Linked DNA regions of Sus scrofa. The protein of the gene in region 2 interacts with the protein of the main gene of each other region in a biochemical or structural test. Links are inferred from orthologs where the notes say so. Each region holds a gene or a part of one and is shown on either strand. Other genes may lie near its edges.

What was found.
Region 1: the proteins of SNTG1 (region 2) and PLEKHA1 form a complex in vitro, tested with the Homo sapiens proteins (2 studies listed by BioGRID and IntAct, with this or other methods). The link is inferred for Sus scrofa from reciprocal best matches to the Homo sapiens genes SNTG1 and PLEKHA1.

Annotation. Positions count from the first base shown.
Region 1 is NC_010456.5:131,998,870-132,002,522, forward strand, and holds part of PLEKHA1 (pleckstrin homology domain-containing family A member 1), read left to right. Parts: intron 1-1,071; coding exon 1,072-1,215; intron 1,216-3,057; coding exon 3,058-3,126; intron 3,127-3,653. UniProt on the Homo sapiens protein: Binds specifically to phosphatidylinositol 3,4-diphosphate (PtdIns3,4P2), but not to other phosphoinositides. May recruit other proteins to the plasma membrane.
Region 2 is NC_010446.5:78,979,612-78,983,364, forward strand, and holds the start of SNTG1 (gamma-1-syntrophin), read right to left. Parts: upstream 2,506-3,753; 5' UTR 1,352-2,505; intron 931-1,351; 5' UTR 156-930; intron 1-155. UniProt on the Homo sapiens protein: Adapter protein that binds to and probably organizes the subcellular localization of a variety of proteins. May link various receptors to the actin cytoskeleton and the dystrophin glycoprotein complex.

The DNA.
Region 1 (3,653 bases), on a different chromosome or scaffold from region 2:
ACAATAAAAGATGGAGAAGAAATTAGTGCCTGCCCAGGAATTGGGGATGGAGACTCTGTCTATGGATATAGCTCAGGGGAGCCTTACGGTACACACTTCTGTACTTGGTTGAGGTGGTGTTACACAACGCTGGTGATAAAATGCATAGAACAATACATACGCAGAGACAAGTGAATGCACGTAAAACTGCTAAAATGCGAATATGGTTTTTGAAATGTATCAGTGTCCATTTTGATAATGTGTATTATAGTTTCCCTGTTGGGGAAAACTGGTTGAAGGGTACATAGGACTTCCTGCACATTGTTTTGTTGTTGTTGTTGTTGTTTTGTTTGTTTTTTAGGGCCGCATCTGCGGCACATGGAGGTTCCCAGCTAGGGGTCCAGTTGGGCTACAGTTGCCAGGCTGCACCACAGCCACAGTAACATGGGATCCGAGCCGCATCTTCGGCCTACACCACAGCTCATGGCAATGCTGGGTCCTTAACCCACTGAGCAAGGCCAGGGATCAAACCTGCAACCTCATGTTTTGTAGTTGAATTTGTGTCCACTGTGCCATGATGGGAACTCCTGTTTTTGGTTTTTATGTTTTTTTCTTTGCAGTTAGCTAGGAATCTTTTAAATTACTTCAAGCTAAAAAGTTAAGCCCCCCCCATCTATCACCCCCCACCAAAAAAAAAAAATAATAATAATAATAATAAGCCATGAGATCCGCTGAATAGCACAGGGAACTATAGCTAGTCACTTGTGATGGAACGTGATGGAGGGTAATCTGGGTCACTTTGTACAGTAAAAGTTGGCAACACGGTAAATCAACTCTAATGGAAAAATAAAAATCATAAAAGTACAGGTGGCGGGACTTTTGCAGAAAAAGAGAAATAGACATCTGTGGTTTAATTGATGATATTAAAAGTTATGATTAAGTATCTCAAATTAATTAGAAAACTCTTTATTTCAAAATCTGTGTTTCTAAGTGAACTAAGATTTTAAAATTTTCTACCAGGATAACAATATGAACTACACGTATGCTTTAAAGCTAAACAAGCAAGAGTTGAATTTCTTTCCTTCATTTTAGAAAGAAGACGTAAATGAATGTGGTGAAAGTATTGACAGAAATAATCTGAAACGGTCCCAAAGCCATCTTCCTTACTTTCCTCCGAAACCGCCCCCGGATAGTGCAGTTATCAAAGCTGGATATTGTGTAAAACAAGGAGCAGTGGTGAGTAGCTGCATAAAATATGCAAAACAATGAAAAATGAGTACATATTCGCAAACAAATTGTTGAGTGAAGGACCAGCCTGCTGACCAGTCTCTGGTCAGGAGATAGACTAGGGGTTTGTTTATTCTATGTTCAGAACTCACTGCTGTTATTTTCTTGGGCTGTGCTTATTACCGCTAACCTTTTAAATGGGTCTTTCTGACCATTTAAGTTTATTTCAGAAAGTATTTCTCTTGCTTTCTCCCCACTTGGGAGTGGCTCAGGGAAGGGGAGCTCTGGTGCGGAGATGGCAGGAAAGCCGGGGCCTGGGGAGCAGGGTGTAGGAGGATCACTGACTTATGTGGTGCTGGGCTGACCCCAGTTGAAAGGGCTGAGACCTGGGGCTGCTAACTCTCAGGCTCTTGGTTTCTTTTTAAGGAAAATCACATTATAAAACCTACCATCCAGGGGTTTTTTGAAAGATGTAAGAGAGCTCATAGAACAGCACCTGGTCCTTGCTAAGAGCTGTTGGCCCAGATGGCCTCACACGGCCAGATCCATGGTTGGGAATTGTGAGAAGAGCAGGTACATTTCCCAGGATTTTTAAGTTTCCAAAGTACCTTTCTAAAATCGGAACTAAATCTATAATTTTTTTTTTTTTCTTTTGTGGCCACTCTTGTGGCACATGGAAGTCCCCAGGCTAGGGGTCGAATCATAGCTACACCTGCCAGCCTACATCACAGCCACAGCAACTGCAGGATCCAAGCCATGTCTTCGACCTACACCACAACTCACGGCAACGCCACATCCTTAACCCACTGAGCGAGGCCAGGGATTGAACCTGCGTCCTCATGAATCCTAGTTGGGTTCATTACTGCTGAGCCATGACAGGAACTCCTAAATCCATAGACTTGGATGAGAAAATAAGCTTCAAATTTGAAAATAAAATTTAAAAAAATTTCTGTGAGTGAAGAAATACTTAAATGTCTCCTGGCAGTTCTAGTTGACTTCACGTCACTTCTGGCAACTCTTATTAGCCTAGGTCAGCCAAAGGAGAGTTCTTTCAGCCCAAATTGTCTGACCCTCTTTAGGCTAAGGGAGGTGAGCTTGAGGGCTGAAGGTTTTTCATTCTAGCATGTCTGTGGGTAAAGTCAGTATTCTCATTAGGCTGTGTGTTAATTAAGGCTTTTAAGGAGACGTTTCTTACTACTTGGTAGTATTATAAAGTACCTGTAGAAGGATTCATGCATTTTACAGACAAAGAAGCTTGATGTGGTTTAATATTTCCTGTCCTTGCTCTTGAACTAGCCCCCCCCCACATCTCCCACTTTTTTTTTTTGTCCACCCCACAGCATATGGAGTTCCTGGGCCAGGGATCAGATAGATCTGAGCTGCAGTTGCTACCTACACCACAGCTGTGGCCACACCGGATTCTTTCACCCACTGTGCCAGAACTTCATCCTGGCACCACAGAGATGCTGCTGATCCTGAGCCACAGCAGGAACTCAGCTCTTGAACCCTTGATAGCATTTACTTTGTAAGCAGGGGGATAGAGATGAGGGGGAAGTGTTTTTATTTTATTTTATTGTTAACGTTTAGAGCATCAGAAAATATAAGACCATGTTATAAAATCATAAAACAAGAACTTTCTGAAAGCCAGCCACCACCAAAGTTGAATTGGGAGTTCAAGGCCTGAGTAGCCAGAGAGACGAAGTGTCCTCTGTCTCCTCACTGAGGGAGGGTAATGACGTTTTCCAGTGCTTGACGTTTCTGATTGTGGGTTCATATTAGAATAACTGAGTGGTTATTAACATTTGACACTTTTAGAAACAGAAGTCTTATGTCTGTGTTCATCTCTAATAGATGAAAAACTGGAAGAGAAGATATTTTCAATTGGATGAAAACACAATAGGCTACTTCAAATCTGAACTGGTATGTTGCTGTGTCATAAATGTTGCTTAAAAATTAAAAAAAATTTTTTTTATTTATTATTTTATCTTTTTAGGGCCATACCCTGATAGTTCCTGGGCTAGGGGTCAAATCAGGGCTACAGCTGCCAGCCTGCACCACAGCCACAGCAACGCCAGATCTGAGCCACATCCGCAGCCTATGCCACAGCTTGTGGCAATGCCTGATCCTTAATCCACTGAGCGAGGCCAGGATTGAGCCTGCGTCCTAACTGATACTAGTCAGTTTCTTAACCCACTGAGCCACAATGGGAACTCCAAAAATGTTTTATAAATATTACACTATGGTGATTATATAATTTCTTGTCCTGTTTTCTGTTTTTTAAATGATTAAATTCCAGTTTTGAGAGGTACATACAATTCAGTTGATTTTGTTGTGATGCTTTGGTTAATGTTATTTTTGTGAAGAACATCTTAAATAAAACGCTCTTCTCTTCAGAGGCATTCTGGCCTGGAAGAATTAAAAATATGAGGACTCCTCAGTCTTCGCAT
Region 2 (3,753 bases):
AAGATCATTATGCAGGAACAACCGTTTAAAATTCAAGTTGTTCATCTTCTGAATCCACAAGGAAAAACAATACTGTTCTAATCTTTCCGTTAAAACCCTGGGAGAGAAAAAAGTCATTCGAGTTACAAACAAGCAGAAATAATATTATCACTTACCTGTCAAGTAAAGGGCTCAGAATTCCTCCCGTGTCTCTAACGTCAGGTTCTGAGTAGATCTGGAACCTCTCACAAAGCTATTTCCAAAACAGGTGCAATCCTCCCGGGAGCATTCTGTTTATTCGGGGAAGCAGGGGCCTTTGAGCACTCGGACCCCGACTGCAGAGCCCATGGTTTCTGGAGCCTCTGAGAACTTCGGCCTCACTCTCCTCCTGGTATTCCTCTGGCCCCCGCGGAAAATGATTCTTGAAGTTGCAGCTGAGTTTAATCTGTGGAACCGGAGAGCTTCTCAGAGCCCCGCGCGGGGCTATAGCAAGTAAAAGAGGGTTACTTTCCGTGGGTCACGAAGCCGAGCGGGGCGCGGGGGCATCTGGAAAGGCCGCCTCTTAGCTGCGAGGAGCCCGGAGTCGGGCTACCCTTGGTGACGGCGGCAGCGAGGACCGCGGCGCCGCAGTTCGGACCCGGGGGCGGCAGCCCAGCCCGGAGACGCTGTCCATCCCCTCCGGTGCTGAAGTGCGGGGCCCGAACCCGAGGCCCGGCCCCGCGCCGCACTTTCCGCACCAGCGAATGCACGGGGCTTGCTTGTCTTCCGGTCTCACCTTCCTCGGGCGCTTTATATTTGGGTAGGGGTTAATTGTTTCTCCAAAATAATACTCTCATGCTTATTTGGTGGTACCTTTTCCGGACATTATCTGACGTTGGAGGTAGGAATCCGTGGGAAATCGGATTTGAGCCGCCCCTCACTTTTCAGTGGCCATGAACGAGTTTCCTAATGCTAGAAATGAAAGGAAACGCACGCACACGCGCGCGCACACACGCGCACGAGGCGGGGGAGCGGGGAGGGGGAGGGGGAGGGAGAGGGAGAGGGAGAGAGGGAGAGAGAGAGAGAGAGAGGGAGAGAGGGAGAGGGGGAGAATATAAATATAGATTAGGTACCGTGGAAAATCCAGAGCTTCTCTGGGTCTCTAATTACATAAGATCATAAGATGAAAAGGGTTATTTTGGAAGACTCCGCAATCCTGGTTACCGATTAGGGCAGCACATTCAAATTCTGAGCAGCCCATTTGAAATTCCCAGTTTAGACACAGCAAAGAGATCGCTGCTTCATCTGAGACCCTCCAAGCGAAAAGGACAGGTTACTGTTAAATAAGGAGAATGAAAGAAAACAGGAAAGAACAGGGCCTCGGCTTTGCTACCTTGTGAAAACGCCGCTGAATTGCCTGGAAACACTGGCCGAGGCGCCGAGGGGATCCGGCCGGACCCCGGTCGCCTGAGTGTCGGCGTCGCGAGCCTGGTGAGACAGCCCAGCGCGCCGGGAGCGGGCCCTTCCCGGGGCCGTGCAGGCGAGAGCCGGCGGCCGAGCTCCTGAGGGCGGCGGGAAGAGGCCGATTTCTCAAGGGTGGACCTGGGGCTGATAAAGTCCACGGTATACTCGGCAGTCCCCGCCCTTTAACGCCGGAACGACGCGCTGCCCACCGGTCCTCCGCCGGGTTTCCGCGGCTTCTCTCCCACTTCGCCTCGCTGCCCCAGGCCTCACCGGCCTCGCGCTCCCGCGGCGCCCAGACCCCACCTCCGCCGGCCGCACCTGCTCTCACAGCCGCTGGTCCCCGCACCGCAAAGGGCTGTGTGAGTGTCCCCGTGCGGCCACGGAAAGCTCCGGCACCCACATTCGGCAACCGGCGCAGACGCGCGTGGAGTGAGGCGGGCAACTGAAATGCACAAGGTTGAAACTGTTAGAAAACTGATCAGAATTGTGTCCACGAGGGCCCTCGAGGCTTTGCGTCGCGAAGGGAGAAAACGTAGTTGGCGCTTGGGGGGTCGTACCGCGGCCCACCTCTCCAGGCACCGAGCTTGTGGCTGCAGGTTTCTGCGCCTGGAGGTGGCTGGAGACTTGGGAGGTAATTCGGTAACAGCGACTGGGGTGCGGGGTGAAGGGGGTGGAGCGAAACACTAATTTCCCCGGGGCGCTGGGATGGGGGCCGGCGCGGGTCCGGGCTCTCAGATGCCTCTTGCTCGGATTTCGACAGCAGAGGGAGTCGTGGGTGCAGCGCTGTCCATGCTGGTGCCGGGGATCCGAGCCAAGAGACTGGCGCCGAGCGTTGGGGGCTCTCCCAGGACCCGAAGCGCCGCTGCGAGGGGGAGGGCGGGCAGCGCGGCTCCCACCGGTTCCCAGCAGGCGAAGCAAGACCGAGCCCGGATCACCTGGGAAAGGAAATTAGACGGGAGCGTTATTCGCCCCGAGAAGTCCGTGTTTCCCACAGACTTGGAGCCATCTCGCCGCCGCAGCAGCGCCCTCGTGCCGGGTGGCCCCCAGCGTCGCCGCCGCCTGGGCTCTGGCTGGAGCAGGCCTGGCGCAGGGCGGGGACTCCCGGGATGCGCGAGGCCGGGGGCGGGGCGGGGGGAGGGATGGGAAGGGGGCTGAGGGAGGGGGCGCACGGGGTAGGGTACACTCCAGGCCGCCCACGCTGGCAGAGCTGAACGTGGGAAAGTGCACTCGTAGTGGGAAGGAGCGGGTCGCCTACTCTGTCAGAGCTCTGCACGGGGTCTCGGGTTACAAGTGCGAGGGGGGCCTCTCAAACCGCGGCTGCCAGAGCGGCCTGGCCTGGGAGGCACGCAAAACTGCTCTGAGTTTTGCTACTTGGGGCGAATGTGGAAGCGGGCGTTTTGCTTTATGGGGAACGTAGACGGATGCCTCAGGATTGTGGTAAATGAAGTTTCTCTTTTCCTTGGACAGGGGTAGACAAAACACGTGCCTCTTGGATCTGCACAAACACGTTTGTGTCATCTCCACAAACAAGTTTCAGAAAGTGCGGGTGGTAGTAAACCACCTCCAGCGAAGACTATGTGACAAGTCGTCGATTCCCTTTCTCCGCAGAATGTAATAACGCTTGATGCAATTGATCACTTAAATTATTTTCTCTGGACGTGTAGAAGTGAGGATAATTGCAGAAATGAAACACACCAAATGAAAGAACCGCATTTAAATGAAGTGCAGATCACAAAGATGAGACTAATTAACAACATATGCCCTTGATTATTCAGACGTGGAGGAACAGATTCCCTCTCTGAGCGCTGGTTGACCGAGATGCAGGCTTTCCACCCTCCCCCTCCCACAGGAAGAGAAAAAAGAAACAGTTGATTACTTTGAACTGTCAGTCCCAGTAAAATTATATTAGTTTGATTTTTTTTTTGAAGCAAAATGTACTCCAAATTTTCCTCAAGTTGTGTAACCAGTTATGGAAATTAACAAGATGAAAATTAAATGCAGTCTAACATCTGATGCTACAAATGATTATAAAGGAAGTACATAAAATCAAGGGACAGATAAACTGTGATGGACAGGAAGTATTTTAGGAAAATCTACCCTTAAAGCAGTTTTTTAAAGTTCATTTTTAAAGTAAATTTTCATTCTCATTTTATCATTATTTTAAATATACAAACGTAGTAAAATATGAATGTAATTCATCAAAACTATACGACATATGAAGCATAATTTTTCAAAAGAAAATTTTGCACCCTAGGATGGTTACTATAACCCCTAAACTGGGTCTTTCAATCTGTTCACAGAACTAGGATAAATGCACCCACACACCCCAGC